Linked DNA regions of Mus musculus. The protein of the gene in region 4 interacts with the protein of the main gene of each other region in a pairwise test. Links are inferred from orthologs where the notes say so. Each region holds a gene or a part of one and is shown on either strand. Other genes may lie near its edges. The genes, in order: Fuca2, Unc45a, Trim42, Meox2, Csf2, Chic2 and Cib3.

Evidence for each region.
Region 1: the proteins of Meox2 (region 4) and Fuca2 interact in binary tests that used the Homo sapiens proteins (3 or more experiments, as listed by UniProt). The two-hybrid records come from large-scale screens. The link is inferred for Mus musculus from reciprocal best matches to the Homo sapiens genes MEOX2 and FUCA2.
Region 2: the proteins of Meox2 (region 4) and Unc45a interact in binary tests that used the Homo sapiens proteins (3 or more experiments, as listed by UniProt). The two-hybrid records come from large-scale screens. The link is inferred for Mus musculus from reciprocal best matches to the Homo sapiens genes MEOX2 and UNC45A.
Region 3: the proteins of Meox2 (region 4) and Trim42 interact in binary tests that used the Homo sapiens proteins (3 or more experiments, as listed by UniProt). The two-hybrid records come from large-scale screens. The link is inferred for Mus musculus from reciprocal best matches to the Homo sapiens genes MEOX2 and TRIM42.
Region 5: the proteins of Meox2 (region 4) and Csf2 interact in binary tests that used the Homo sapiens proteins (3 or more experiments, as listed by UniProt). The two-hybrid records come from large-scale screens. The link is inferred for Mus musculus from reciprocal best matches to the Homo sapiens genes MEOX2 and CSF2.
Region 6: the proteins of Meox2 (region 4) and Chic2 interact in binary tests that used the Homo sapiens proteins (3 or more experiments, as listed by UniProt). The two-hybrid records come from large-scale screens. The link is inferred for Mus musculus from reciprocal best matches to the Homo sapiens genes MEOX2 and CHIC2.
Region 7: the proteins of Meox2 (region 4) and Cib3 interact in binary tests that used the Homo sapiens proteins (3 or more experiments, as listed by UniProt). The two-hybrid records come from large-scale screens. The link is inferred for Mus musculus from reciprocal best matches to the Homo sapiens genes MEOX2 and CIB3.

What each region holds. Positions count from the first base shown.
Region 1 is NC_000076.6:13,499,349-13,503,894, reverse strand, and holds the start of Fuca2 (plasma alpha-L-fucosidase precursor), read right to left. Parts: upstream 2,868-4,546; 5' UTR 2,728-2,867; coding exon 2,522-2,727; intron 825-2,521; coding exon 637-824; intron 1-636. UniProt on the Homo sapiens protein: Alpha-L-fucosidase is responsible for hydrolyzing the alpha-1,6-linked fucose joined to the reducing-end N-acetylglucosamine of the carbohydrate moieties of glycoproteins.
Region 2 is NC_000073.6:80,337,159-80,341,566, reverse strand, and holds the start of Unc45a (protein unc-45 homolog A), read left to right. Parts: upstream 1-1,347; 5' UTR 1,348-1,447; coding exon 1,448-1,498; intron 1,499-1,854; coding exon 1,855-2,016; intron 2,017-2,216; coding exon 2,217-2,253; intron 2,254-2,407; exon of another isoform or gene 2,408-2,550; coding exon 2,551-2,726; intron 2,727-4,408.
Region 3 is NC_000075.6:97,366,989-97,371,257, reverse strand, and holds the start of Trim42 (tripartite motif-containing protein 42), read left to right. Parts: upstream 1-1,299; 5' UTR 1,300-1,413; coding exon 1,414-1,754; intron 1,755-4,269.
Region 4 is NC_000078.6:37,107,111-37,111,395, forward strand, and holds the start of Meox2 (homeobox protein MOX-2), read left to right. Parts: upstream 1-1,429; 5' UTR 1,430-1,720; coding exon 1,721-2,234; intron 2,235-4,285. UniProt on the Homo sapiens protein: Mesodermal transcription factor that plays a key role in somitogenesis and somitogenesis and limb muscle differentiation. Required during limb development for normal appendicular muscle formation and for the normal regulation of myogenic genes.
Region 5 is NC_000077.6:54,247,094-54,251,537, reverse strand, and holds Csf2 (granulocyte-macrophage colony-stimulating factor precursor), read left to right. Parts: upstream 1-1,638; 5' UTR 1,639-1,927; coding exon 1,928-2,077; intron 2,078-2,174; coding exon 2,175-2,216; intron 2,217-2,230; exon of another isoform or gene 2,231-2,535; coding exon of another isoform or gene 2,536-2,592; intron 2,593-2,974; coding exon 2,975-3,100; intron 3,101-3,842; coding exon 3,843-3,950; 3' UTR 3,951-4,268; downstream 4,269-4,444. UniProt on the Homo sapiens protein: Cytokine that stimulates the growth and differentiation of hematopoietic precursor cells from various lineages, including granulocytes, macrophages, eosinophils and erythrocytes.
Region 6 is NC_000071.6:75,024,137-75,027,907, reverse strand, and holds part of Chic2 (cysteine-rich hydrophobic domain-containing protein 2), read left to right. Parts: intron 1-492; coding exon 493-547; intron 548-684; coding exon 685-840; intron 841-3,771.
Region 7 is NC_000074.6:72,209,901-72,214,322, reverse strand, and holds the start of Cib3 (calcium and integrin-binding family member 3), read left to right. Parts: upstream 1-1,485; 5' UTR 1,486-1,544; coding exon of another isoform or gene 1,545-1,574; coding exon 1,575-1,579; intron 1,580-3,838; coding exon 3,839-3,950; intron 3,951-4,422. UniProt on the Homo sapiens protein: Acts a an auxiliary subunit of the sensory mechanoelectrical transduction (MET) channel in hair cells. Plays a role in regulating hair cell MET channel localization and function.

The DNA.
Region 1 (4,546 bases), on a different chromosome or scaffold from region 4:
ACACACTCACTCACTCACTCACTCACTCACTCACTATACTCATTCTCTTCAACCAGCTTTAAATAAATCTAGTTATTTATTTAAATGATGTCTAAATTAGGGTTTCATTGCTATGAAGAGACACCATGACCAAGACAAGACTTAAAGCATTTCATTGGGGCTGGCTTACAGGTTAGAGAGAGGTTCAGTCCATTATCATCAGGACAGGAAGCACAGCAGTTTCTAGGCAGGCATGGTGCAGGAGGAGTCCAGAGTTCTACATCTCCATCCAAAGACAGTCAGGCGGGACTCCTCTGCACTGGGCATATGACCTCAAAGTCCACCCCAGCAGGAACACACTTCCTCCAGAGAGGCCACATCACCTAATAGTGCCTCTTCTCATGGGCTAAGCATATTCAAACCACCATAAATGGTTAAATGTGTACATAGAAATTGTGTCCATCTTTCCTCTCATTCTGTGAAACCAGCTGTCTGGATCCATAATGTTTCCAACTTAAGCGGAAACATCACTATCCACCTATGGCTATTCTGAGAAACCGGGTTTCACAGGACGGCCTTCCTTTAATGTCTCCATCCAAAAGAACGACCTTACATTTTCTAGCCCTTGTCAGCATATATCCTATGTGCCCTACTTACCTTCGTGATGTTTAGAAGTGAAGACCACATATTTGGCACCAGAGGCCTGGAGAATATCTGCCCACTGGTTTGCATTAAAATACTTGGCTGTAAATAGCACTACAAAATCTTCATACTTAAAACCAGGAGCATAATTATTGTTCATAAAGTCCACAAACTGGGGTTTCTTCTCCTTTTGCCAATACCACCTGTGGCAGAAAAAAGAAAGAGCACATGACCACACAAACACAGATGCTTAAAGTAATTCCTGGCTTTACCCAGCCTAGTATGAAGAATATGCACAGATTCTCTCCGCTTCTCTCTGTCCTGGTGGGTTTGCATTAAGGACAGCTTATGCAAACTGAATCTCTGGCCATATTCTCTGTCTTTTCCTTTGTGTAGTCCTCCTGTAACCCAGCCACCGATTCTCCAAATTCCCCACTTTAAGTCATGATATCATCTTTGCCTTCACACACTAGCTCACTGTGGAACTTAAGTGGCTAAGATTTCAAGACAAGACGACATACCTAAAACATAACTTGCATCGGTCCTAGTCAGTAACAGAAAACATTTTGGGTAGATAGGGAGAAACATTTCCAAGGGCCGGGCAGTTCCCACAGTTGGCACGGCCTTTGCCTGCCTGAGATTAGATTCAAAGCCCTCACAGGCAGCAAGCAGCTTGTCGTCTATCAGACCCAAAGTCACATGCCTACTTCAGAAACATCCCTCACCGCAACCCATGCTGGCTGGTGGATCAGACAGATAATGGGATCTCCTAGTGAAGAGAGAAGCTGGCTTTCAGGTTAGCGATAGTTAAAGAGTGAACAAGTTTGTGTTGCCTGTCTACCGTCATGTGACTATGAAGATACTGTGGGGTAATATATCTCTATTATTGCCCCTTTGCTCTGCTTTGGGTTTTTGATGCTTTAGCATTCAAGGATCTTCACGTCATAGCTGAACCAGGAAGCATTTATTGTAAATTTTCTGATTTTCTTTTTAATTACATGTGTGCGTGTGTGTAGGCGTGTGCATGTGAGGGGGGGGCTTTGGGAGCACGAACCCCCCCCCCCGGAACCAGAATGACCAGATGGTTGTGAGCCTCCCAGGGCGGGTGTGAGGAGTCAGACTAAGGTCCTCTACAAGAGCAGTGTCTTAGTTAAGAGTCTTACTGCTGTGAACAGACATCATGACCAGGGCAGCTCTTATAAGGACAACATTTAATTGGGGCTGGCTTACAGGTTCAGAGGTTCTGTTCATTATCATCAAGGTAGAAAGCATTGCATGGTACAGGAGGAGCTGAGAGCTCTACATCTTCATCTGAAGGCTGCTAGCAGAATACTGGCTTCCAGGTAGCTAGGATGAGGGTCTTAAATCCCACACCCACAGTGACACACCTATTCTAACACGGCCACACTTTCTAATAGTGCCACTCCCTGGGCCGAGCATATACAAATCACAAGCAGTATGGGCCCTTAACCAGTGAGAAATTTCACCAGCCCTTTTGAAAATTCTTCAAATTCTGGGACTGGTACTCCCTCAATCACGCAGGCATTGCCACTGCTATAGGGAGGCCCACCTGCAGAGTGCCTAAGAACTCCGGTGTGAGTTTGTGTGTGTGTGTGTGTGTGTGTGTGTGTGTGTGTGAGAGAGAGAGAGAGAGAGAGAGAGAGAGAGAGAGACAGAGAGACAGAGAGAGAGAGACAGAGAGAGAGAGACAGACAGAGACAGAGACAGACAGAGACAGAGACAGACAGAGACAGAGAGAGACAGAGACTGCCACTGTCTGGGGTGACATAAAGCCCAGTGTGAGTGTGTGTGTGTGTGTGTGTGTGTGTGTGTGTGTGCGCCCGCGCGCGCGCGCGCCCGCGTCCGTGCCCGAGCCCTTTGGGCAAAGGTATGCACTTACCAGAACCATTCACTACCAAAGCTGGGCACGGAGAACACTCCCCAGTGGATAAAGATGCCGAACTTGGCCTGGTCGAACCAGGCTGGCAGCGGGCGTCTGTCCAGAGATTCCCAAGTGGGGTCATAGCTAAGGGCTCTCGTGACCCCCCAAGGCCTCAGGAGCGGCAGCAGCAGCAGCGGCAGAAGCATCAGGAACCCCAGGCGCATGCGCGCCAGCCTGGGATCCTCGGGGGAACCGCCAGTCACCAGGGAAGCCGGGAACCTTCTCTGTCAGCCGCAGAAGCTGCCTAGCGCTGGCCTTCCGGCTTCTGCTAAGTGTACCCTGCTCCTGTCACCTGACCCAGACCGGTTTGGTCAGATGACTACTGTGATCTGGAGTAGGGAGTGGCCAGGAGTTTTAATGAGCTCTGGTTACTTAAGGACCCCAAGAAGGTTGCATTACTCAGGTGCACAACCAAGGAAGTCAGTTTTTGCCCACCCTCCTCATTTTTAACAGCCCTTGGCTCTGTTTCCCAGTCAGATCTGATCTACTTAGCCAAGACGCCCGGTTTGTCTGCTGTGAGACAAAAACCTAAAGGATGGTCTTTGACCCACGACCTCCCTCCCCAAGGACTCCTAACAGAAAACTCTCAAGAGGTCACCTCGACCACCAGGCCCTGGTGGCTTTATGTGTCAGAGCTGTCTGCCCTACCGTGGGACTGGAGCCTGAGACAGGAACTTCGTGGGCTGCTCAGGGCTTTTGAGGAAGCTCCCATGGCTCTCAGCCTTTGGGTCTGCCTCTGCCATCCTCGAATTTGTAGCCGATGAAATCCCAAAGTTTGGGTTCAGCCAATCTGGGTTCGGGTCCAAGATTTTACATTTCTACTCAGGCTCTTGTTATTTCTGACTTTGGTTGTTGGTGGAACAAACTTTTCTGAGAAACTGCGTTAGGAAATAAGGCAATCTTAGTTGAATGAATGTTTAAGAAGTTTGTATAGAAGGAGGGTTTGGGAACCTGCTGGGGTGGCTGAGTGCTTGCCTAGAATGCAATAAAACCAGAGTAGTGGTCAACACAGCAGTGTGGAAACAGAAACAGGAGAATCAGAGTTCAAGGTCATCTTCGACTACATAGAGAGCTACATGAGACGCTGTCTCAAAAATCAGGAAGGAAAAAAAGGAGAGGAAGGAGGGTTGGAGGGAGGAAAGGAGGGAGGGAATGAAAGTACGATCTGGGAGCCGTAGTTCAGTAATAAATGTCCTAGAGCTGTGTGTGTGTGTGTGTGAGAGAGAGAGAGAGAGAGAGAGAGAGAGAGAGAGAGAGAGAGACGGAGACAGAGACAGAGAGACAGAGAGAGACAGAGAGACAGAGAGAGACAGAGAGACAGAGAGAGAGGAACCTTCAGGTAGACTTAAAGAAAAGGAGCCAGTCACTTAGAATAATCATCAAAGTTACATCTTCAGGAACTGTATCCTAAAGTTATTTAAATGCCATTGGCCTAAAGCCGGAATCTCTACTGCTTCCGCTTTGGCAAAACCCTTATCCTTTTGTGGTACATTTCAAATGCCACCTCCTCCAGGATGCTCTGTGCCATAACCACCCCTCCCCCAATAACATCCCACTTCCTCCCAAGTGCCTCCATAGGACACCGTATCCTAACCACTAACACAGGAGTCCACAGGTGGTTTCAGAGTTGGCTGGCTAGAGATCCCAATCGCCTTAGACTGTGAGTTCCTTAAGAACACTTACAATCTCTTCCTGGGTGCCATGCTTTTCAGGGCAGCAGAGCCTGGCACAGAGCAACACTTACAATGTGTTTTCTGGAGTTGTCAGTGTACTGCAGTTCTCCTTGCTGAATGAACCAAGACGGAAGTGACACTAAGTAACTGTTGCTTGTGGTTCCCTCTTCTGCACAGCTAGGAGCAACAGAAGCCACTGTCTCCCCACATGTGTCTCACCAGGACCCCAGCACCACCATAAGAGACCTGGCAGAAGCAACTTACAGAAAGAAAGGTTTCCTTTGACTTAATGTCACAGTGTGTCTGTTGT
Region 2 (4,408 bases), on a different chromosome or scaffold from region 4:
TCTCATCTCTCCACAAGCTTATAATAGAGGAGTTTTCACCCCTGCAAATCTTGGGACTTTAATTTCAGCTTCCTTCTTGTCTGTAGCCAGGGCTTAGAACCCCTGTTGGATTCCTAGGACTACGACTGAGGTGGAGGCGACTTCTTATGGGCCTCCAGGGGAGAGGTCCAGGGCTCCTGCTGACAGGCCTGTGTGGGGGACTGCTTTTCAGTTGGATGAATCTTGCCCAGCCAACCGACCTCTCAGGTATAATACTTTCCCTATCCTCTGAGGGTGACTTGGGGTACGGGAGATCTGATGGTGAGGGGTGGAGAGAGCCTCCTCTTCTCTTCTCTTTGGGACTTGGACCCCATTTTGCACTTTGAGCAGGGTGAAGGGGATGTGGGTAACCTCCCTTCTCTATAGACGTCTTGCTTCTCTCCAGCCCTGGCTCACCACCCCCATTTGTGCCAGACTACACGGGATGCAGAAGGCGGCCACTACCCTGGTTTTTTCTGTCCGCGCCTCTCTGACACTCCCGAGGAAGCCTACTGTTGCCACCTGCAGGCTGCCGGGGGTTCCTGCTGTACCCTGGATGAATTTGAGGCCCTGTACCAAGTTAACTTGTCTTCGCTTCAGCCACCACCCATCCTCAGGTAAGAACTCTAGTCCCGGATTCGCAGAACACTGGCAGAGTGCTCCCGTGTCTTGGGCACTGTCCTTGAATTCTGCAGTGGGAGACTTGTAGCTTCCAGATTAGTGGAGAGGAAGTCACTAAATCATAATTACAACCAATGCTGTAAATGAAAACAAGTAACAGAAGCTGCTTTGTCTTAAGGGGTTTGGACGGTGTTAATAAAGAGGATTTGTTAATCTTGGACACATTGTAGTAGGAGGTTTAATTCTGAATCTGCCGCGTTTGTCTTCAAGGTACTTGCGAGCTCCCAGATTTGTATGCAAAATATGTGTATGCATCTGTATTTATCCCCTGCTCTCGTGGGACTCTGGGCTCTGCAAACCCTGACTTGTAGCAGCCAGTAGACAACCTTGAGTCTCTCCTGTCTCCCCAGGGGTCCAGGCCCGCTCCTAGCACTGGGCATCTACACTCTACTGCTGATGGCACTGATGACTACAGATTTCGTGCACTTCTGCCGTGGTCGGGGACGGAGAGAAAAACAAAACTCCAGCGGCTGCCGCCGCCTTTCCTTTAGAGCCTCTTCCGCGCGCCCTCTACAGGTTCCAGTGGGAACAGACTAGGCGCTCGTGAAGCAGCCCTGAGCCTGAGCCTGCGCCTGCGCAACGCGAGTACCCCGCCCTTGCACAGACCCAACCACTTCTTGGCCTCGCCTTGTTTAGCGTAACACTGACGCATTGCTGGGGCGGGGCAGTCGCCGGCATCTCGCGGATCCCAGGGACACCTTTGCTCTAAAGACTGCGCCTGCACTGGCTCTTGGAGCTTAGCTTCGTGATGACTGTGAGTGGCCCGGAGACCCCCGAGCCCCGACCTTCCGACCCCGGGGTGCGTACTGATTCTCCTGTGCCATCTCCCCTTTCACACATGCGCCTTCGCACCTGGTCGCCGTCACCTTATTCTAGCCCTTCACGGGACTCGGCCAAGACCCGGCTCTTCTCCCAGGCGCGCTGCTCTGCCCAACGCCTTTCTCTCTCTCTCTCTCTCTCTCTCTCTCTCTCTCTCTCTCTCTCTCTCTTCTCTCTCTCTCTCTCTCTCTCTCTCTCTTCTCTCTCTCTCTCTCTCTCTCTCTCTCTCTCTCTCTCTCTCTCTCTCTCTCTCTCTCCCTCTCTCTCTCTCTCTCTCTCTCTCTCTCTCTCTCTCTCTCTCTCTCTCTCTCTCTCTCTCTCTCTCTCTCTCTCCAGGCCAGCTCAGCCGAGCAGCTGCGGAAGGAGGGCAACGAGCTGTTCAAATGCGGGGATTACGAGGGCGCCCTGACCGCCTACACACAGGCCCTGAGTCTCGGCGCGACGCCCCAGGACCAGGCCATTTTGCACCGAAACAGGGCTGCTTGCCACCTCAAGCTGGTGAGGGGATCGGGTTGCTCTAACCTGGTTCTACCTGGGCCTGGGATTGCCCATAGCCGCTGCTGTTTGTGCACCAGTTGGGCATTTCCTAGCCACGCACGATTGCCAGAGGTCTTTAGGCGTGGGTAGTGGGGGATCAGGTGGTTCAGCAAAACAAGGGTGCCATTGCCACTCTCAGGCTCCTGATCTTTCTCTTACAGGAAGATTACAGCAAAGCAGAATCAGAGGCGTCTAAAGGTAGGGTGGGTGTGGGTCCTCATATGGAGCAATGGGGTCTTCTGTGGTGGGAAAGGACTCTGGGGCCACCGAGCCATCCCTTTCTCCTCCTCTGGACCCAGTCACTCGTCTTTCTACTTGCTTTCCCACTTCTTCGGCCTTTCCTTTTCTGCAGCCGCCCTCACCTTTTCTGAGGCTGAAGCACCGAGCTCCACATTCGTACCCCTATCTTCCTTTGGCCCTCGAGATCTATCCCTACTGCTCTTGCCTGGAGACGGTGGCCTCCTGGGTGCTGATAGAGTTCCTGTTTGTGCTCAGCCATTGAAAAGGACGGTGGGGATGTCAAAGCACTCTATCGCCGAAGCCAAGCCCTAGAGAAGCTGGGCCGCCTGGACCAGGCTGTCCTTGACCTGAAGAGATGTGTGAGCCTAGAACCCAAGAACAAAGTTTTCCAGGAGTCGCTGAGGAACATTGGGGGCCAGATTCAGGAGAAGGTATGTGAAGGTACCAAGAGAAGTTGGAGTTGCCTGGGTCTGGGACAAGGATGTAGACACAGTACTCCAGAGAGGAGCTACTGGTAACAAATACACATTAATTAATAATGCTCAGACTGATGGAGGAAATCAAGTTTAAAGCATGTTTTTTTCTGTGTATGTATAAGTTTGTCCTTGTATGTAAGTGGTGTGGGTGCGTGGACTCTTACGGTACCTGGCGAAGGTATGAAGTGATTTGGCTCTGTTAGGCTGTAGTGCTTTAGCATATCAAAGTTGTAAATGAATATCTGATGATCTAGTTAGCCCCTCTTGACCTTAGACTCACTACCTGCCCGAAGCTGGCCTTGAACCCCTGATTCTCTTGCTTCCAAAAACATTTTTAGTTTTACTTTTTTAAGACAGGGTTTCATGTAACCTAGGCTAGGCCTGGACTTGGCTGCGTAGCTGTGGATAGCCTTGACTTCCTGCCTACACCTCCCAAGGGCTGGAATTTCAGGCGTCTGACTTTTATTTCAGCCTTGTTTATAGTAAGAGAGACTTGGAACTTGCCTAAATGCCCAGCAATGAAGAGAAAAAAAAAACCTAAACAGACTAGGTCAGTGCTGTTTCTGAGAAATGGATCATATATGACTAGACGCGGGCTCTGCTGATTGGTAGATGGAAAAGCAAAATATGCGGTAATCTAAGTAGGAAAGTACTATGTTCATGAGGGAACGATCCAAACAGTGGAGCCTGTCTGAGAATATCTGGCTGAATCCGTGACAGTCCAATGAAAAATGTCAGTAAAGCTTGACATTAAAAGCCAGGTGGTAGCGCATGCCTTTAATCCTGGCACTCGAGAGGCAGAGGCAGGCGGACCTCTGGGTTAGAGGCCAGCAGGGTCTACAGAGTGAGTTCCAGGACAGCCAGGGCTATGCAGAGGAACCCTGTCACTAAATAAATAAAATAAAAATAAAAGCCTGTTAAGAATGCACATCAAGCCAGGGGTGGTGGTGCACACCTTTAATCCCAGAGGCAGAGAAAGGCAGGTCTCTGTGAGTTCGAGGCCAGCCTGATCTACACAGTGAGCTCTAGGACAGCCAGGACTGTTTCACAGAGAAACCCTGTCTTGAAAAAACAACAAAAAACAATGTCCACTAAAGGCCAGGCCTGGTGGTGAATACCTCTAATCACAGCACTCAGGAGCTGAATGAAGCAGACAGATCTTTGTGAGTTCAAGACCAGCCTGGGCTAATTTAAAAAGAAAGAAAAAAGTGTGTGTGTGTGTGTGTGTGTGTGTGTTGTGTTTATCAAAATGGTAACATTGGAAGAAAAGAATGGGGTTAAAGAGGTTTTCCAAGAAATACCTGTTTTAACGCGCACACACACACACACAGACACACATACACCAAAAAGAAGTGTTAGCAGCTACCTCAAAACCTTCCTGCCCTCTTTTGAACGACTGTCAAGCATAGCACCATAGTGGCATTTCTGTGCTGTTAACGCTGCTATAGTATGGCTGGCACTGCCTGGAGCTGGTTTCCTCATGGCTAACAAAATGCCTCCCATCTGAAGGCACTTCCTTTAGCATCAGCAGGCCCTCTTGCCCAAGCAGGACAGTTCAGAGAGGAAAACAGCCCAGGGGAAGTTTAGGAGGAGATGCCTGGCAAGTCTCTTCCTGCCTGCCATGGTTGCTAGCTGTT
Region 3 (4,269 bases), on a different chromosome or scaffold from region 4:
AGAAATATAATGAGACAGCGGTCCTGTTCTAGGACGGCATGGCCGTGAGACCTCTGCTCCTTTAATCTTTGCAAGCTGTATGAAGGGGAAAGCAAGACTTCCCCTGATTGATAGGGCGCTGTTTCTAGAGTTCCTGGGTGCACACTGGCCGAGTAGCTAATGATTCTGCACCTCTTGATAAATGAATGTGGTGGGGTGGGGTGGGGCTAGGGTAGGGTGAGATGGGGTGGGGTGGGGTGGTAGGGTAGGGTAGGGTAGGGTGGGGTGGGGTAGGGTAGGGTGGGGTGAGATGGGGTGGGGTGGGGTGGTAGGGTAGGGTAGGGTAGGGTGGGGTGGGGTGGGGTAGGGTAGGGTGGGGTGAGATGGGGTGGGGTGGGGTGGTAGGGTAGGGTAGGGTAGGGTGGGGTGGGGTAGGGTAGGGTGGGGTGAGATGGGGTGGGGTGGGGTGGTAGGGTAGGGTAGGGTAGGGTAGGGTGGGGTGAGATGGGGTGGGGTGGGGTGGTAGGGTAGGGTAGGGTAGGGTAGGGTGGGGTGGGGTAGGGTAGGGTGGGGTGAGATGGGATAGGGTAGGGTGGGGTGGGGTAGGGTGGGGTGGGGTAGGGTAGGGTGGGGTGGGGTGGGGTGGGGAGGGGTGGGGTGGTCTAGGGCAAGGGTACAGAGGAGAAGAAAACAAAGTCTGAGTCCTAAACCTGTGGACGACTTAAGCATAAAGCCTCGTGATCATGAACTCTGAAGGGACATGAGTGAGCCTGTGTCTCTGTCCCTTCAGCCCCTTTTCTGAATAGTGATGACCCTTTCACTGTGATGGCGCCATTATTTGTAAACATTGTGCTTTGCTGGTCAGAGTTCTGCTGACGGAAGAGGAACATGGTGTCAGTCTGTATGTCTAATTAGTCACACCCCGGTCTTTCAGTCAATAAAGACAAAACAAAAACCAAAAAAAAAAAAAAACCTGAATTCAAGTTACCCAAATAGCAGTAATAGTACCAACCAAGGAAAAACAGCATCTAAAATCCATGTGAGCACTTGAAACACAACAGATGGCCGCTAAAGCCTCCAAGAGCTCCGTGGTGCCACCACTCCTGTGACATCAGTCTCTTGAAAAACACCCAGTATGTATCCCAGCTACCACCCCTGGGTGCCCTCCTCTTACCTACTACTGAGCATGTGAAGACATGGTGGGAGTCAGGGATTATGACATAAGCAATGTCCACAGGCTGAAATAGGTAACGCCAGCTCAGAGGAGGACCACCACCTGTGAAGGCCTCATAAACTGGCCAACTTCCTGCCACAATTCCCAAACTGCCAGCCTCACGAGAGTGGGCAAGGGTCCCTTTGGGAGAGAAGTGGCCACAATAATCTGGTAGAGAACATTGTCAAAACTCTAGAGGCCTTGTACCAGAACTAGGAGCCATGGAGACGGCTATGTGTGTCTGTTCTCCCTGCTGTACCTGGCAGAGATGCTGCCCCCGGCTGTTCTCCTGCCTGTGCTGCAAGTTCATCTTCACCTCCGAGCGGAACTGCACCTGCTTCCCCTGCCCCTACAAGGATGAGCGGAACTGCCAGTTCTGCCACTGCACCTGTGCAGAGAACCCCAATTGCCACTGGTGCTGCTGCTCCTGGGCCAATGACCCCAACTGTAAGTGCTGCTGCACGGCCAGCACCAATCTGAAGTGCTACTACTACGAGAGCCACTGCTGCCGCAATGTTACCATCACATTCAGAAAGGGTCGCCTTCGAAGCATCGTCACCTCGTAAGTACTGCATGAGTGCTGGCCATCCGTCGTTTGGCTATGTTGGCTCAAAATAACTGGAGAACATGTGCCAGCTGTGGGTACCCCAGAACAGGCCAGTGCTTCCTAGAGTATACTCTACATGGGAAACAAAAAAACAAACAAACAAACAAACAAAAACAATGGTAATTTTGTAGCAGTTAAACAGCCAAGTTCCTTTACCGATGTGAATGCATGCTACATGTACCCTTTGACCCCAAGAGCTCTCACCTTGCAAACAAGTGATGGCCCTCAAGAAACTTTGCCAGCCACTGTTCATGTATCCATCCCTCTCCTCACTCTGTGCCAGCTGGACTCAGGAAAATATTTAGCTGGGAGATACTAAGTTGCCCAAGACTAAGCAGCTAGGAAGGGGGTAGAGTCATGACTTGAATCCAGAGCTAGGGCAAGGGTCCAAAATTTAAAAAAAAACAAAAAGTCATGACAAAATGGAGACCCTTATATGGTATAGGCTCCATAGCCTGTTAGATGATCTGAAAAATATAAACTGTTCTTCATCCCCTTCCTGTAAACTGCAGCATTTACCAGGTGAGTACGGACTTCTAGGAGCCGCTTTTGACCATAGGTAGCAACCTACAGAAGTACCCTGAGCTGACAGCCACCCTTTCTTTCCCCTCCAAAGTCATGACTGTCAGGTTCTCAGTCACTCAGTAAAGTGGCTACCCCACAGGCTAGCAAGCTGCTCTTTTTAAGTCACATGTCAGGGACATCAGGAGCCAGGGGAGATTTCACAGGGAAGGGAAGATCACAGCTAGTGCTTTAGAGTCGTAGACATCAGCAGCTCCCAAATTCAGAAGTGCATATAAATCCCCTGGGGACCTTTAAAAATAAACGCTCCTGCATGCTCTCCACACCTCAGCATTCTCTTTTCCATTGATCTTGGGGTACAACGTGGGCTTCAGAACTGTAAGAACTCGATCCCCATCCGGTGATTCTAACAGGGAGAACTGGAGTCATCAGCGTGGGACCTAGAGGCTTGGAAGGCAGATGTGAGAACGAGCAAGACTTAGCAGGGAGTGGGCTGTGCAGTGGAGCAGAGGCAGGGCAGGAAGGCAAGGCTGTGGGCCTTGGTGGCTGCTTTAGCATGGAAATCTGTGGGCAGCAGACACCCTGTTTGTACTTCAGTGCCAGGCAGTCAGCTCTAACGTACTGGTGCTTGCCTTCCAACCCCCCTCTCCTGGTCTCCAAACCCCTTCCCTCCCAATGCTGTTCAGTGGCCTCACTTTTTCTTCACTCTGGTCTAATCTAGCCTTCCTGGATTCATTCTTTTCCTCAGTCCCTTTCTCATAACTACTCCAGTTCCTCGGGCCATTAACAGAGTTCTCTTAGCCCTGCCCATTCTCCACACAGTATCTCCTTTCTCCCTCCTTCCCTCTTTCTGATCGCTTCTACTCCCTCCATGTATTATACACTGACTCCAAGTCTTACTTTTCTTATCAGAGAAACTCATCTAGGTACAACATGTACTCTTGACTTGTGACTTCAGGTGACCCTTCTGGTACTAAGCAAGAGGCTTGGACACAGAAAAGAAATAGGACCAAAAACAGTGAGGCTGTAAGCCTAGATCTCAGCATCCAAGACCCAGGGATAAGCCAGCTCTCAGGTTGCCTAAGGTTATGCGGAGACACTGTATCTCAGGGCCACCCTAGGAAGCTCCTTTGACTGTCAGTGATCTGAGGCATGGGTTCCTTGGCCAAGAAGGAGACAAAGAGAAAGAGAAATCAGAAAGGGAAGGGGTCAGAAGAGAACACTGCCCAATGTCAAGTCCAGGACCTTACTATGAACAGAAAGACTCGAGAATAGCCAAAGATAGTGCATCGGCTTGCATCTCCATTCCCACAGCAGAGTCGCTTCTTTCCTAAACTGCTTTTACTCTGATTGCAGCTTCTCATACCATGCACTTGAATTGCACAAGCATAGTCTCTTCATTTGTAGTTCTTGCCATTGAATCCATGAGGGTGACCTCCAGTAGACAAATAGAGACCCTTAACTCACAATAGTATAAGCACACATGGGCCTTCACGAGCTTGGCTACTGTTTCCTTCTCTTGCGGTTTCCTCCTCTACTGTGGACATTAGCCGGTGGATAGCGCAAGAGGGTGATTACAGGGACCATATTTACACTGGGGATGGATTATTTTCATTTACACTTTGTAAACCCCCAGGAAGGAAGTGCTGCAATCTTTGATTTACAGCTGGAGAAACTGAGCACAAAAGAGATTAAGACTCTCTAAATGGGTAACTCTAAATGTGCCATGCCCTGCCATATATAAATTGCCCAGAGGCAGACCCTTGTGTATTGCTGTTGATCTGGAAGTCAGTTCATGGCTTCTAGGATCAGCACAGAAATTGTCTCTTGCTGTCTTAGAAAAGTCATTTACTACCTTCCTCTGGCCCATCCCACACAGAACAGTAATAGTAATGTCACTGCCTTCCAGGCACAGCCACCAGAAGCATGCCTGTAATTGAGCTAGATT
Region 4 (4,285 bases):
TCTAGTTCAGGTTGCTGTACTCATTAATCCCATTAGCAATTTCAAAGACTTGGCCATCATCTTCTGGTCACCCAGACAATAAACATATGGCAGTTAACCATAGTGGCACACTCCAAGTCCTGAACACCCTAGGCTACTGCAGACATCCCCTTGGCAGACACTTCCTAGATAGGAACAGGCTTTCCTGCAGCCCACTCTCCCAAGCTTGTTGTGGGTTAAGGACAGGACTTCCAGTAGATTCTGTGGCCGCCCAAGCTAATTGCTGTGTCAACCCCAGCCCCTGCTCTCACAAATTCACTGGTGGCAAGGTGTGCAGTTAGTTCATTTCCAGGAGCACAGGCTGTAAACCTGGGGGAAATGAACCATGATAGCAGGGTCCACGCTGAGGGAATGTTAAGTTTGCTATCTGCTTAAAACAGAAAGGTGGTGAGGAATGGAATGTATGCAAGGAGCATTAGCTCTGTGAGCTAAAGAGAGATTTCATTTCTCAAAGGATGGGAGCGGGCTGTGAATTGGCTCCTGCAGGGTTAAGCTAGCTAGGAAGGGTGAAGCTGGGAGCAAGTTAGACTTGCTCATTTGACATTTTTTCGGGTTATTCTTGACCCCCCCCCTCCCAATTTCCTCGGTGAGCAAATGGTGAGAAAATTTCGCGAACTGGACTGGTAAAGAGAAGTAGGGGTGGGAAGAGGGTCAGAAAAAGAAGGAAGGGGGACACCACTTGGAGCAACACTTGTGTGTCGCCAAGGCGCCAGAGCCTACATCCACCTCTGTGTCGCGCACACCCCATTGTATATCTGTCCTTTCTGCACTCAGAGTAGCACTGTGCTAGCCTTGGTGCACAGCTCTACAACCTCCGCCCTGGCTCTAGGTTTTCTAACAATCTATTCTCAGATACCTAAAAGAGAATAAACCTAATGTGTTTACGCTGGAACCGTGAGTGGCCTCTGAGTTTGAAAAGCTCGACAGACTAGGCTCTTCTTCTCTTGAAAGTTCTCTTGAAAGTTCTCTGTGGTCTGCAAAGTCAGGGAGTAGTCAGGGAGCTCCTGCAGGTGACCCCAACCCCCACCAAGGCTGAGAGATCTAGGTTCCAAGAGCAGTGAGCTACTCAGAGACACTGTGTGCTGGCTTAGGGAAGCTGAGTGCCTCTGCGTCTGGCCATGGGAACCTATGGGACAGATTGCGGTGGCCCGGAGCGACTGAGGCTCTGGGAGCACCACTAGCTGTGGTGGAAGCTCCCAGGGCCCGACGGGCGGGCGTTGGGCAGCGGCTCCTGTCCTGCCAGCAATGGGAACTGGAAATGAGAGAGCACGGTGGCGCTGACTGAGCGGGAGTTTTGGAGGGAGTTTGCATGTGGTCAGCGCTGGGCTCCTAAGCCAGCCCCCAGCTCACATTACACTCTATTTATAACCTCTCAGAGCCATTTCCCCCTGAAAGCAGTTCTCTGGGACCACCTTCTTTTGGCTTCCACCTCTCCCACACTTGACATCTGAGCAGCTGCGAAGGAAGCTCCTCCAGGTCCTAGTGTTTATACGTGCAGGAGACTGGCCGCTAAGGCTCAGGACTGGGATTAGCCGGCTCTGCTCAAATGCAAACGCGCGCGGCTTTTACTTTTGGAGTGAGTGGGGGAAAGTCTTAGGATTTCCAGTGAAAAGTGACAGCGCTTGGTGGACATTCGGACCGTCCGTGAAGTCTTCTGCTTGGAAGCCGAAACTTGCATGCCATGGAACACCCCCTCTTTGGCTGCCTGCGCAGCCCCCACGCCACAGCGCAAGGCTTGCACCCCTTCTCCCAGTCTTCTCTGGCCCTCCATGGAAGATCTGACCACATGTCCTACCCCGAACTCTCCACATCTTCCTCGTCTTGCATAATCGCGGGATACCCCAACGAGGAGGGCATGTTTGCCAGCCAGCATCACAGGGGGCACCACCACCACCACCACCATCACCATCACCACCACCAGCAGCAGCAGCACCAGGCTCTGCAAAGCAACTGGCACCTCCCGCAGATGTCCTCTCCACCAAGCGCGGCCCGGCACAGCCTGTGCCTGCAGCCTGATTCGGGAGGGCCCCCGGAGCTGGGAAGCAGCCCTCCGGTCCTGTGTTCCAACTCATCTAGCCTGGGCTCCAGCACCCCTACCGGGGCCGCGTGCGCACCAGGGGATTATGGCCGTCAAGCGCTGTCACCCGCAGACGTAGAGAAGAGAAGTGGCAGCAAAAGGAAAAGCGACAGCTCAGGTGAGTGCGGGCAAAGCAACCCTGGGGAGAGTGCGCTCTGGGCTAGGAAGATGCGGGGAGGTGTGGGATGTTTCTCATAGAAAGACAAACTGTGAAGCTGCTAGCCTTTCCTCGCTCTGGTGGGCGAGTTCATCCATGGAGCGTCCGTCCTGTAATTCAGGAGCACGTGTTTCACTGAAGTTAATATATCTACATCCAGCCGTTCAAAGCCCTCCAAGATCGCAAATCAGTTTTCCAGAAGTGGTGAAGAAAGAGCAAGTGACACTATGCAAAATCGGTTAAGGGAGCGTGGCGGGTCCCTCCACGGGTTGGGAGGGGTGTGCCCATTGGGATGCTGCATCCGCTGGGCATGCATGCCTGCGTGCGTGTGTGCGTGCATGCGGGTTTCCTTGACTTTTCCCTTCCAATTCCCAACTCTGAACAACTCGACTTTTCCTATCCTTAACTGGGTTTCCAAATTATTGCGCAATGCCTTGAACTTTAACTGGATTTGACCAAATACGAGAAAAAGAAAAGGAAAGAAAAGAAAAGAAAAGAAAAGAAAAGAAGAGGAGGAAAAGAAAAAAGGAAGAAAACGGAAAAGGAAAGAAAAAGATAAGGAAAAATTAAAGAAAGAAAAAGAACAGAAACCTAAAACTTTTTTTTTAATATTTTTGCTTTCAGAGTTCCTTAAATAGCACCTTTCTTAAAATGATATTTAAAAAACAAACAACCCCTCCCCAAACATTCTATTTATTTGGCGAAAAAGTAATTATCTAGTAATCTAGAAGTGTTTAAGGAATACCTCTGAAAACTTTGAATAAAGAGTATTCTTATAGTAATTACACTCATATGGTGCTAACCTGGTTTGGGGGGGGGGGGGGGACGGGGACGGGAAACAAGCAAAAAGTCCAAATCAACCAACCAACCAAAACAAAATGTTTGAACTTCGACTGTGGAAAATAAAAGCCTTCATCAATTGAGTAGTGCTTTGAGATGCAGTGGAGAAAGTGGACAGATAACAGTCCTGACAGTGCTGGAAGAAGATGCAGGGAAGGTGTGGGTAACTTGAGCAGTCCTACAAAAGGGGAGCCTCCCAGAAGAATTCAGGGGCCTGGAAGTCCAATAGCCAGTGCATCCTGACAGCACAGAGAAACTAAAAATTTCCAGGAAACACAACAAAGCCCTTAAATACATTCCTCATTGTAAATGTTCTCTCTCTCTCTCTCTCTCTCTCTCTCTCTCTCTCTCTCTCTCTCTCTCTCTCCTTCCTTCCTTCCTTCCTTCCTTCTTTCCTTTCTTTCTTTCCTTCTTTTTTTCTTTATTGAATCTTCTATGTAGTTACAAGGCAACCTGGATACAGATTTAGAAAGACGTCACTTAACTAGTAAAATGTTTACATATATTACGTTTTCTGTGCTAGTGTCTCGAGAGAACATATAATTCTAGGCAATAGTTTGAAGAATTGAAAAATAATAGCATTTTAAACATTTTAGGCAAGGTGTTCTGCAGTGTAGGGCAGTAAGGGCTGTGTATTTTGTAATGTGTTGAAAGATGATAGAAATTTTTCTTGACCTCGGTGTGGGGTGACTCCTTGCTTCCCAGCCTCACTATTGAACCTGTAATTTTTCAGGTCCTGGGTGAACGATTAATGATGCTTCATCATGATTAGTTATGTCTAAGAACTCGGTCATCGCTGTTATTCTGTTTACTGGTTATCTCTAACTGTATGTGAAATCCTAAGATACCAAAAAGGTTCCTAAGAAGGCATCAGAACGCACTGGGTTTCCCCAGATTGGGCATTTATGAGCAGAAATGCATGGATTGCTTTGGCAGGTTGCTATCTACTTCAGGGAGGACCAGAAGCTCGGATTCCGTGTTTTCTTTCCGCAAGGGGGAAACTGCGCTGCTTCTTAGCTGAACCAATGCCCTAAAGATTATTTGCGCACACGAAGGAATTTTTTTTTTTTTTCAGGCACAAGTTATTTTTGGTTGGGGAAACAGGGAGAGTGAGACTAAAAACTGACTTCCTTAGTTTATTTTAACAAAAATGGTTTTAATATTGACTAACA
Region 5 (4,444 bases), on a different chromosome or scaffold from region 4:
TATTGCCGCTTCTTTCCATGCGTGCAATCTAGGAATGCCTGCCCGTGTCACCGCCTCCACCCTGATGTCATCTTTCTAGGAGAAAGATACATATCTACCCACAAACTGCATCCCCAAGCCCTTAGAATCCTGCCCCATAAGTGACAACTTTGGCACCTGTAGACCATATCCTTGACGTGAGTCTTGACTCTGGGGCCTCTGCTTTCCTCTTAGCCACCACCCTGCCACACGCTTGGGCTAAGACGAATGCCTTTAGTTCTTCAACATGGCCATTCTGGCCCCCCAGTCTCTCTTTCTACATGATTCCTGTGGTCTTGTCCTGAGTTCCACCTGTTATCTGACCCTCGAAAGCCCTCACTTCTGTCTGGTTTCATCAGTCCACTGAATCAGCTTCTTGGGCCCTAAAGCATGTTTCTTGGCTAGGGGCCCCCTCTCATATCAAGAGGGCACCGCCAGAAGCCCAAGGGTTCTCACAAAGCAGGCAAAACAAGTGTGGCTCATGTTAGATGCACCCTTATGTAAAACCTCCTCCACCTTGACATGTTCCTATGAGTACATATATATCCAACACCACCAGCATACACACATGACTGAAGAGATACACATATGTATCCCCATGGTCTCAAACTTCCTGTATAGGAAGGCTTGGGCCAGATCCCTTGGGCAAACACAAACTCGTGCCGTCTTCTCCAAAAGCCATTGTGAAAATCAAACACTTGTTAGCCCCTTGAGACCATGCTGCCTTTCCAGAAGCAGTTCCTGATTCCACAGAGAGCTTCTGGAGAGGGAGGTGGGCTGGAGCAAGGGGCTGTGCAACAGACTAAGCCTGGGAGAACTTGCCAGGGAAGCGGGGGTTGGGGCGCACGTGTGTGTGTGTGTGTGTGTGTGTGTGTGCGCGCGCGTGTGCGTGTGTGCGTGCCTGGTTATTGTGTTACAGCTAGTTACTATGTTACAGCCAGCCTCAGAGACCCAGGTATCCCATAATGGTACAGATAGCAGTAATGTGTCCTTTTTGAATGGCAGGCTGCTCTGAAGAGGGTAAAGAGGCTCACATAACTCAAAGGAAGAGTCGCTTGGCAAAGGGGGAGGGCAGAATCAGCAGTCAAATGGGAGTAGCCTTACCTGCCCCAGCCAGAAGCTCTAGCCATGCTGTGAATTTTTAGGATTGAACATGCCTTTGTAACTGGGATTGTAGCAGTCAGTTGGGATGGTATCATAAGAGAACATGGTATAGTCTGCCTGGCTTCTATACCCATTGCTGTCATTCTCACTGCTCCCAAGGTGGCAGGGGTGGGGCTTGGCTGGGCAGAGTTTGCCCAGAATGGTCTCCTCAGTGGGAGTCTGTGGAGACCATTATAGAATTGTGTCATTGGGCTGGACCTTATTTAATTAGATAATGAGGTGGACTTGTGAGAAGTGTATATCTCAGAAGGTGGCTGGAAAGAGAACGGGCCAGGACTGGGGCTGGAATGAGCCACCAGAGTAGGTAGAGCTTGCCCAAAGGCCTCCAGGAACAGCAGGTGCTATGGAAGCAAGAGCCCCACTCAGTATCTCCCAAACCCCGCCCCAGCCACTCCAGGCCAGGAAATCCAAATATGCCTGGAGGCCCCTCAAAAAGGAGAGGCTAGCCAGAGGCTGGGTCAGACTGCCCAGGCAGGGTGGGAAAGGCCTTTAAAGCAGCCCGCAGGTGGGCTGCCAGTTCTTGGAAGGGCTTATTAATGAAAACCCCCCAAGCCTGACAACCTGGGGGAAGGCTCACTGGCCCCATGTATAGCTGATAAGGGCCAGGAGATTCCACAACTCAGGTAGTTCCCCCGCCCCCCTGGAGTTCTGTGGTCACCATTAATCATTTCCTCTAACTGTGTATATAAGAGCTCTTTTGCAGTGAGCCCAGTACTCAGAGAGAAAGGCTAAGGTCCTGAGGAGGATGTGGCTGCAGAATTTACTTTTCCTGGGCATTGTGGTCTACAGCCTCTCAGCACCCACCCGCTCACCCATCACTGTCACCCGGCCTTGGAAGCATGTAGAGGCCATCAAAGAAGCCCTGAACCTCCTGGATGACATGCCTGTCACGTTGGTGAGTGAGGGAGAGAGTTGGGTTGTTCCCAGGCCACCCATTGGCCCTTGTCTTGCCCTGCCTTTCAGCTTGGTAACACGGCACTTCCTTTTTACAGAATGAAGAGGTAGAAGTCGTCTCTAACGAGTTCTCCTTCAAGGTAAGCTGCTTCTCTTTTGCTCTTCTCTTTTGGTGTAGCTTCCCGGGTTGCCCTGCAGGGCTGCTTTAAATAGCCTCTTGCAAGGCTTTCTACACTCTTCCCTGCCAGTGGCTGCCAGCGGGAGGGGGCAGAATCTGGGTAGTCAAGATCTCTATATCCATTCCTCTGTAGCAGTCACGTGCACTCTTTTATCGTCCAGAGCCATGCCCCTGTGGCAGTCATGTGCACTCTTTTTATCAAGTGAGCAATAAGTTTGGGCAGAGCTAGCTTTCAAAGGTCAGAGGTCTTCAGGGATTGATGGGAGCATGAGAGTCACTTTATGAGTTGGCCTTGTTGCCTTCAAGTTCTCTCTGTGCCCCGTGACCATGGAGAGAAGGTATTGATTATACAGGGGCACAGAGGGTATTGATTATACAGGGCACAGAGGGGCTTTTGAAATAGTGCTTCCCCACACAGAAGTTTGGGCTCTGGCCATCTCCTTCTTCTAGAATGGCAGCAAGTAGCCTTTGCTTACAAATTTTTTTTTTGGGGGGGGGACAGCACTTGGAACTGGGAACCTCTATGGTACCAGACTATAAACATGGCTGTGGTAGCTGAGGTGGCCTGGACCAGGCAAGAAGAAGGGCAGTGCTCAGGACAGTGTTATGACTAGCCCCAACCTGTACCACTTGGTGGGAGCAGAAGGGAGTAGGGAGAAGTTAGCTTGTATTCTATGGACACTTGGCTTTTGCTTATCAACAAATGGATGCTTCCCACAGAAGCTAACATGTGTGCAGACCCGCCTGAAGATATTCGAGCAGGGTCTACGGGGCAATTTCACCAAACTCAAGGGCGCCTTGAACATGACAGCCAGCTACTACCAGACATACTGCCCCCCAACTCCGGTGAGTACACAGCATCAGGGCCCCAGGTCTTAGTCTGGGAGGGTGCGGCCAGTAAGGAGAGACTTCTGGCTGTAGCTGTTCAGGGCCCCAGTAAGTGGTTTCTGTATTGTTAGATGTTTCCTAGGAGCCCCCCAAGAACAGGCCATAGCTCCTATTCATCCCTAGACCCTAAGCTGAGAAACAGCAGAGAGCCCACTGCTCTTCCTAGGAGGAACCATCTGCCCATGTCACACATGCCATTGTCAGTCATGAGGTCAGAGGTGAGGCAAACCCAAGGAAGCTCAGGGCCTGCCCAAGCCCAGGAGAGCCAAGAGCCAGCACCCAGATGCCACTTCCTGGCAGGACTTTCCTGTAAGGATGCCTGTATTCCATGGATACAAGGAGGAGGCTCCTAGAATGGGCAGACACCCCAAACATTCCTATTTCCTTTCCTCATCAAAGACAGTGAGCCTTGTGTCTTTTTAGAGGTGAGGAGATGCCTCAGGCTGGTTGCTTGCTTCTCGGTGGGAACCAAAGAGGCAGACCTGAGACAGTCCTTCTGTAAGGGCACAGTCCCTGGGTGCCATTGGCAGAGCTGTGCATGCCTTAGGCAGCACACGGGCAGCTATAGTGTCACCTGATCCTTACAAATGGGCTTCTGGCCTCTGAGTTCTCAGCAGCGAGAGAGAAATACACAGTTCTTTCCCCACGTGGCCCACTTACCTGGACTCAAGTGCTGTTTATTTTTTTCCATTCCCTCCAGGAAACGGACTGTGAAACACAAGTTACCACCTATGCGGATTTCATAGACAGCCTTAAAACCTTTCTGACTGATATCCCCTTTGAATGCAAAAAACCAGGCCAAAAATGAGGAAGCCCAGGCCAGCTCTGAATCCAGCTTCTCAGACTGCTGCTTTTGTGCCTGCGTAATGAGCCAGGAACTTGGAATTTCTGCCTTAAAGGGACCAAGAGATGTGGCACAGCCACAGTTGGAAGGCAGTATAGCCCTCTGAAAACGCTGACTCAGCTTGGACAGCGGAAGACAAACGAGAGATATTTTCTACTGATAGGGACCATTATATTTATTTATATATTTATATTTTTTAAATATTTATTTATTTATTTATTTATTTTTGCAACTCTATTTATTGAGAATGTCTTACCAGAATAATAAATTATTAAAACTTTTGTTTGTATAGTTATCTGGTTTATTTTGAAAGGGGAGAAATTTGGGCATAGGTGGAGTGGGGGAGCTATTGGGATATGGTATTGATGAGAGTCAATGCTGTCATGGCCAAAGGGAGGTGAAATCAAGGCCTGGGTCCAACATCAGCCTGGGTGGGGGATCTCACAAGCCTTGGTGGA
Region 6 (3,771 bases), on a different chromosome or scaffold from region 4:
GCACTACAACTCAGAAGCAAGGGAAATAAACATTGAACAAATGTTTTTGGTTCAGATTGAAATAAATTGAAGCGAGTGGGTACTAGTCATTTGGTATTTAAAAGACAAAATGCAGTAGGAATTCAAAACAGTGAAAGCTAGAAAATTTGCTATTTGATTAATATATTATGCTTTGATACTGTGGTAGCTCATGAAATAAACCGTCTTTTTTACTTACATACTGTTGGTTATTTAACATTGTGCTTCATGCTTCATCATTCTATAAAAGTTTTGGTTCTACTGGGAAACTCTTTCTATGCTAATTTTGTAAGTTGCTCATTGTGATTATCTTAATGAGCAACTTACAAAAGGTATCTTAGACCTTCACTCTGTCTCCGACACTCTCTGAGGGATCCATGTTCTGTTCACACCACCTTTAAGTTAGATAGTTTAAGCATCTGTGATGTTGGCACAGTGACATATAATAACATATTTTTTCCTTTTTGAAAACAGATTTGGACTGAGCAACAAATTTGAATCAGAATTCCCTTCTTCATTAACTGGAAAAGTGAGTGTCTCTCTTATTGTTATTAATCTACTGTTTCTATATCTCAAATTATTTTCTCATAGAAATGAGTAAATGTGTGCTGAGACCCATTTATTGTCACTCAGCATCTCAGTGTTACGTTTCTTCCCTTCCTGTAGGTAGCTCCTGAAGAATTTAAAGCCAGCATCAACAGAGTTAACAGCTGTCTCAGGAAGAATCTTCCTGTTAATGTGCGGTGGTTGCTTTGTGGCTGCCTGTGCTGCTGCTGCACGTTAGGGTGCAGTATGTGGCCAGTTATTTGCCTCAGTAAAAGAGTAAGTTGAATTATGTCTTTTAATTTACATTTAGAAGTGTGAAACAAGTCTTACTTTTACCTTTTTTTTTTCTGTTTAATGAACCACACTGTTCTGAATGCTATATAGAAGTAATCTGATATAGTAAAGCAAGATTAATTAAATCATATATTCAAATATTATAAAACAGCTGTGTAACAGTCGTCATAATTTTTATACATTAGGAAATTATAGTCAAAAGGTGCAGCCCTATGTCTGTATGCATTAATTATGGACTAGAATGGTACTGTATATTTCTGTGCCCATGGACATACTTCTGAACCTCTTTAAATCTGATTGATACAGCTATAAAATAATAATATTCACCTGTGATTTGAATAGAATTGTTGTAAGGATACAGTAAAATAGTATTTATAAAGCTCTTAGCTGAACAGCTTATGAGAAATTCTGTCAGCTTCAATGCTGTTTTAAGTATAAGAGAGACAGTTTAAAGGAAGAACTGTGTACTTTGGCTCATGGTTTTAGAGATTTTAGTCATGGACTGTTACGCTGGCTCCATTACTTCTGTGCCTGACCATGCAAAACCATCATGATGGCTGAGTAGAGCTGCATGCCTCATAGTCATCAGGCGTCAGAGAGGGAAGGAGGAGATTGGAACAAGATGTAGCCCCTGAGAACAGAGTCCTTCCTACCCATTCCTCTAGATCCTATGTCTAGACATTTGAACCACTTTCCAATATGCCTTCATGTTAGGAATCTATGAGTGATTTAGTCTGTTGAGTAGGTTGTATTCCTTGTAATCCAGATCATCTTGCAGTCCACAGTCTCCCAAGCTCTACTGTCAACTGAGCTATCGCACAGCTCTCCTCTTACTTTTAAATGACATTGGTGTACGTCAGTGTCTCCTGTGCACTCACGTTCAGTACCTGAGTCTCTGTGGTCTATCCTGTCAGAGTTCCTGGAAGTAGTTACAGAGGCTAGTGGTCCTGGTTCTCTGCAAGAGCAGCCAGTACTCCCAACTCACCTCTCCATCCCCTAACATACAAGCTTTTGGAGGGAGTCCTTCAAATCTAACCCATAACAGAAGTTGTCAATAAGGAGTGACTAATATTATTACTAGTACTATGAGAGTACCCATGGAGGAGATAAAATGCTTACAGGAAAATAATATGGGTTATTTTATTTTTGTACTTTACAGTTTCTCTATAATGAATATACACTGACTCTGATTAGGAAAAATCATTGGAAGACCTAATTTTCATTGCTTATAATGAAAAAGTTCCAAGATGTTAGTTATAGATATGCCAAAATGATACAAATCAAAAGTTGGTTGGGTGGTTTTTGTTTTGTTTTGTTTTTGAAGACATTGTTTTACTCCTTGGATTTGACTGGCTTGAAACTCACTTCAGGTTAGTCTTGAACTAAGAGATCTGCCTGCCTCTGCCTCCCAAATGCTCCAGGCCACCATGCCTAACACATCACCATTGTTTTTGTTATCTTAACTATTATACTTACACGTGTGAAGTTGATGTAATATTCAGCCATGTATGGTAACTCAGGTATGAAATCCTAACACTCAGGCTGAGACAGGAGGATTGTGAATTTGCTACATAGTAAGTTAAGGCCAGCCTGGAAAACCAAAGGAGGGGGGCAGGTGTCAACCAATTTGGCTTGAATGTTTTTCTGTGGAAACATTTAATTTTTGTGCTAGATAATGGCGAGGAAATGAAGGAAATCACATTTAATTTGTTACTTGACTTCTATTATAGAGTTAGAGGTATATTTTACTGAAAATTTTTGAGCTGATTTATTGCTAGAAAGGAAATGATGCTTTCATAATAGAGTTGTATATTATTTTTTATAATATTTAAAATACTTATATTTCTCATAAACTATTTTATTATTTGTGTGTTGAACATGGGAGGTGCAGGTACCGCCAGAAGTGTTTAAAGGCCAGGGGACAACACTGTGCAGTCAGTTCTCTTCTGCCGTTGAGTGGGTTTCGGGTGGATCTCAGGTCATTGAGCTTGTGCAGCGGAAGGGTTTTTTTTTTTTTTTTTTTTGCTGGCCCTACTTTCTTAGAGATTTTTTTACCCCCCTAATTCTTGCCAGATTGCCTCTAGGCCACAAAAAAACTGTCTGGCAGTGTTTGGATTCACAGTTGTATTTTCTGATTTTCTTTAGGCTCTGTCTCTCACTGCCTTCCTCATTTCAGGCCTTGCTGTTGTCTGAGTGGCTGTCCAGGTCATATGGTTACGGTGGTGGGCTTTGTTTGTTGGATCTGGCCTTGATTTTCAGATCTGATCTTATCTTTTCCCTCCCTCCCTCCTTCCCTCCCTCCCTCCCTCCCTCCCTCCCTCTCTCCCTCTCTTTCTCCCTTTCTCCCTCCCTCTTTCCTCCCTTCTTTTACTTTTTAAATGAGTAATACAAGAGATTTTAATATGTGGATGCTATATTTAAAAAACAAAAGTGAAACCTTATAGTTCTCTATACATTTCCTGCCTTGAGTATAACTTCTCTGTACCATGTCATGAATGTATGGAGAGTACTAGAACACCTTTGTAAGATGGGAGACAAGATAGCAGGGATTTCCAACCCTCATTGTCATGGACCACTCTGCTAGTCTAATAATGCTAGAGCCTATAAATACTATTTTAGTATAACATTTAATTATTCTAAATACTACATTAATCAATATTTTAGATTACAAAACCCCAATTATATATCAAACAACTAAAATAAGGAACTGGAAAGTATTTGAAGATGTGAGAAAATGCTGTTCAGTGACTGCAATGACAACATTCTGGTAATGTGCAAGCTGCGAGGGCTTCACTAAGAACTAGGAAAGGAGGATGTCATAAAAGAAGACAAAGGCCACAGTATACTCCAGGCCCATCCACACTGGATGTCCCATTTACCTATCTGTTCTCCTCATAACAAGACTCAGGGAGA
Region 7 (4,422 bases), on a different chromosome or scaffold from region 4:
AGCAACATGGCCTCAGAGATGAGTGTGAGCCCCTTTAGAGATCTTTATCCTCGTACCTATGAAGCTGTGTGTTCCTGAGGCAGTGTCTGGAACATCTGAGCTTCTGGTTCTTTCTTTTTTTGGGGGGGTGTTTTTTTGAGACAGGGTTTCTCTGTGTAGCCATGGCTGTCCTGGAACTCACTCTGTAGACCAGGTTGGCCCTCACTCAGAAATCCACTTGCCTCTGCCTCCCGAGTGCTGGGATTAAAGGCATGCGCCACCGCGCCTGGCTGGTTCTTTTTTTTATAAACTACGGATGCTGAGAAGATGACAGCAGTCATGACTGGTACTCTGAATGGATTTATTCAGATTGGTCTTTTTCACAGTCACAGATATTCCTCTAAGCAGAACAACCTCATTGTACAGATAGGTAAACTGAGGCACAAGGTGTTATTCAGCCTCTGCTTAGTGATGCATTGTTAGGTCTGCCAGTGTCCTCATTAAAGAAGGGACCCAGAAATGACTGGGACAGGGCCAAAGGGAAAGAGTAAAGGCTGAGGACAAGCTGGGCATGGTGGCGCACACCCTTGACTCCAGCACTTGGAAAGGCAGAGGCAGGTGGATTTCTGGGTTCCAGGCCAGCCTGGTCTACAGAGTGAGTTCCAGGACAGCCAGGGCTACACAGAGAAACCCTCGAAAAACTAAAAAAAAAAAAAAAAAAGAAGAAGGCTGAGGACAGAGGAGAGGAGGAGAAGGGAGGGGAGGGGAGGGGAAGAGAAGAGAGAGAAGAGAAGCGAAGAGAAGCGAAGCGAAGCGAAGCGAAGAGAAGAGAAGAGAAGAGAAGAGAAGAGAAGAGAAGAGAAGAGAAGAGAAGAGAAGAGAAAAGAGAAGAGGCAGAGAGGGAAGCAAGCATAGGAATCCTCCGCCTCCTGCCTCAGCCACAGTCACACACTGCCACATCCAATATGTCTGTCACCCTCAGACTGATCCTATAGATGGTAATGTAATTTCAATTTCACAAGCAAGGTTCAGAGAGGTCAGACAATTACTCAAGACCACACAGCTAGCAGGGGGGAAAAGCTAGGATGTAGACTGGGGTATGTGCATGGCTTTCCCTTGAAGGTGTTCCAGACAGAATGGCTTCTCTGTGACCTCTCACAGACCTCTTCCACACCTGTGGACACATTCAAAAGGTTGCCCAGAGAGCCAGGCTGTAACTTGAGCTTCACCAAGCTTGGGGCAACCAACTGGATAGGTGGGCAGGTGACAGCCAGGGCAGGAACATCTGCTCAAACATTATGAGCACGGGTGCTCCCGAGGAGCCACCTGTAATTTCAGTTCCAGTGTATTCAAGGCTGCAGTCTGCAGCATGGGCAACAAGCAGACTGTGTTTAGTCACGAGCAGCTGGAGGAATACCAGGTGGGTGTGTGCAGTGGATCCTGCCAGGCTGGCACAGCCCTGTTTGGGACATCAGGCTGTCTGTGTGGATTTGGAGTGTGTAGAGGGGCACAGGGAGAGATGACCCAGAGGCAGGTCTGGATCAAGCTGGTTTCTCTCCCCACAGGACTGTACTTTCTTCACGAGGAAGGAGATCATGAGGTCAGTGGGGGAATGAAGGGAGGTGACACCCCAAAACAACTTTCTAGTCACTGCTGGGCCTTTGTGCAATCTTTTTGCTATTGTTCTGTTTTGTTTGCTTGAGAATGAGCCCAGCCTAACCTCAACATTACCTCTGCCTCTTGGGTGCTGGGATCACAGGTATATGTCACTGTAGCTGGCTGCAATTAAAAAAAATATTATTGCAGGGGGGCGTGATGTGTGAGTGTGCAAATGTGTGAATATGTGATATAGTGTGTGTGTTGCAGTTAGATGACAATTTGCAGAGTTGATTTTTTTTTCTGCCCCCTTTAGGTGGGTTCTGGGACTAAATAGCTGGTCCAGCTTTCCAGTCTCTCTTTCCACCACATGAGTCTTAGGGGTCAAACCCAGGTCATCAGGCAGGTTGTTGCCATATTGGGTCCTCTTGGTTTTCCTTTTCTCTTTCTTTCCTCCTTCCTTTCTTCCTTTCTTTCACTGAGAGACAGGGTTTCTCTGTGTAGCCCTGGCTGTCCTAGAACTCCTTCTGTAAATCAGGCTCACTCTGAACACAGAAATCCACCTGCCTCTGCCTTGCAAGCCTGTACCACCATGCTTTGATGTGGGTGTTGCCTCAAGGTCAGTGGACTGAGGCAGAGACTGTTGGCTGAGAAGTCACACCCTGTCATACTGGCTGAGGTTTTGTACTGAGGAACTTGTCCTTTTACCTAAGGGTAGCAGGGAGCCACAGAAGGTGCGAGAGCCTTGGAGAGGCACACTGGCCCTTTGAGGTTGGGAGTCCACTGCAGAGCTGAGATCCAGCCCTCAGCTGTAAGTGGCAAGGAGATTGTGGGGGAGTATTGGCAGCCCTTGGGTGACTGCAGGTTCCTGGCTTGAGCCCAACAGGATGGACAGAGATGAAACTCCCATGACACCCTTCTGTCTGTTGGACCATTATCTGTGAAACCCAAGCTGGCTGCGGTTCAGCTGTGGGGCATCAGGTCGAGTCCCTCTTATGTGGGTACAGGGCATCCATTATTGATGGGTACACCTCTCACCCATCAGCCCATTGTCTGTGAGGACTACTGGAAGGTCACTTTGGCCATCACGATCAGATTACTGGTGGGGAAACTGAGGCTTGGGCAAGGAGAACTTCAGTTCCCAGGGCAGATGGACAGAGTCCTGACTGGCCCAGGCTTCCAGATTGTTAAACAGAGTAACCAAGGTTGGGAGGAGAGAGGAACTCACTGAATGGCACAAAGAGAGACAAACTGTGGGTCCTCAATATGGCTCAACAAGCAAAGATGCTTGCTGCCACACCTGAGGATCAGAGTTCAAATCCCAGAACCCATATAGTAGAAGAGAATCCACTTCCACAAGTTGTCCTCTGACTTTGACACCTGTGCTATAGCATGCACACATATACACACAAATAAGTACATAACTATAAAAATATTTTTAAAGGAAAGATAAACACTCAGGGCATTCCTCCACAGGACTCCTGACAAGGGGAGGGGATTTTTAGAACTGAGCCTCCTCTCCAGCTATTCTCAGGTATGTAGTCATGAGAAAACCCAGGGATATCCTTGCCTGAGATAGTTCCTAGCAGCTTGCAGACATCAGGGGTATCAAAGATGGTCTCTTGGAGGCAGGTGAGGAGTGTGTATGGAAAGGTTGTATGTGTGCTGGCCAGTGTTTTGTATGTTACCTTAAAAAAATCCAGCCAGAAGCAGCACAAGCCCATCACCCCCAACACTTGGGGAGCAGACGCATTAGGAATAGGAGCGTTAGTGGCTTGTCTGTCCCCTGCCCCATTGGAGGAAGCCTGCCTCCTAGTGTAGACACAGCAAAGGAAGTGGTGGCTCAGAGGGGAGGAGCAGTAGAAGCAGGATCCTGTGAGGTGATGATGGAGTGTATAGGTTATATATCCAGGTCCCTCAAACACTAGCTGTGGAATGATCAACCATTAACACCTCTTTCTTCAAGCTCCATCTTCCTGGTGAACTCCTACTTCTAAGCCCAGTACCAGTGTCCCTTCCTCCAGGAAGCTCTTCCTCCTTGCCTGGTTTCTACTTCCTTGCTCTACATTGGCCTTGTCTGTGAGGAGGGAAACAGGGGTAGCTCTTTCTGGCTCGGTGCACTCAAGATTCAGACTCATGCATGAGGCTTCTGGGGACCAGCATTTGACCTTGTAGAGCGAGTACTGTTAACACACAAGAAGAGGGTCAAATCCCTTCTGCTTCTTGGTCCCAGCCTTTCCCGGTTTCTCTTTCCTCATACCAGGCTGTTCTATCGATACCAGGACCTGGCCCCTCAGTTGGTGCCTCTTGACTACACGACCAGTCCCAAGGTGAAGGTGCCCTATGAACTGATTGGCAGCATGCCAGAGCTGAAGGTAATCCTGGGCTGTGGACAAAGAGCAGAAGCAGACTGAAAATGTCTTTACTGCTTTCCTATGTGGTCATGGGTACCTCCATCTTACAGAAAACTGGGGCTCCAAGAGGCACACATAGGAAGGACAAGGTTAAAGGGCACTCATGGGCTAGGGCATGGTGGGACTCAGACCTCTTGCAGAGGCAAGCAAGTCTCTAAGTTTGAAGTTAGTCTGGGCTGTAGGTAGATCAGAAAGACACAGAGGCAGAGGCAGGCAGATCTGAGTTCAAGGCCAGCCTGGTCTACAGAACAAATTCCAGGGCAGTCAGGGCTACACTGAGAAACCATGTCTTGAATCCACACACACAAAAGTTGTATTTCACTCTGCTGAGGTTCATCACACAAGGTTCACATCATCTAAGTTCCTTACTAAGGTCCTAAATCTGTCTCCCAAGGCAGATCACCCATGCCGCAACATGTCTTAGCTGATTATC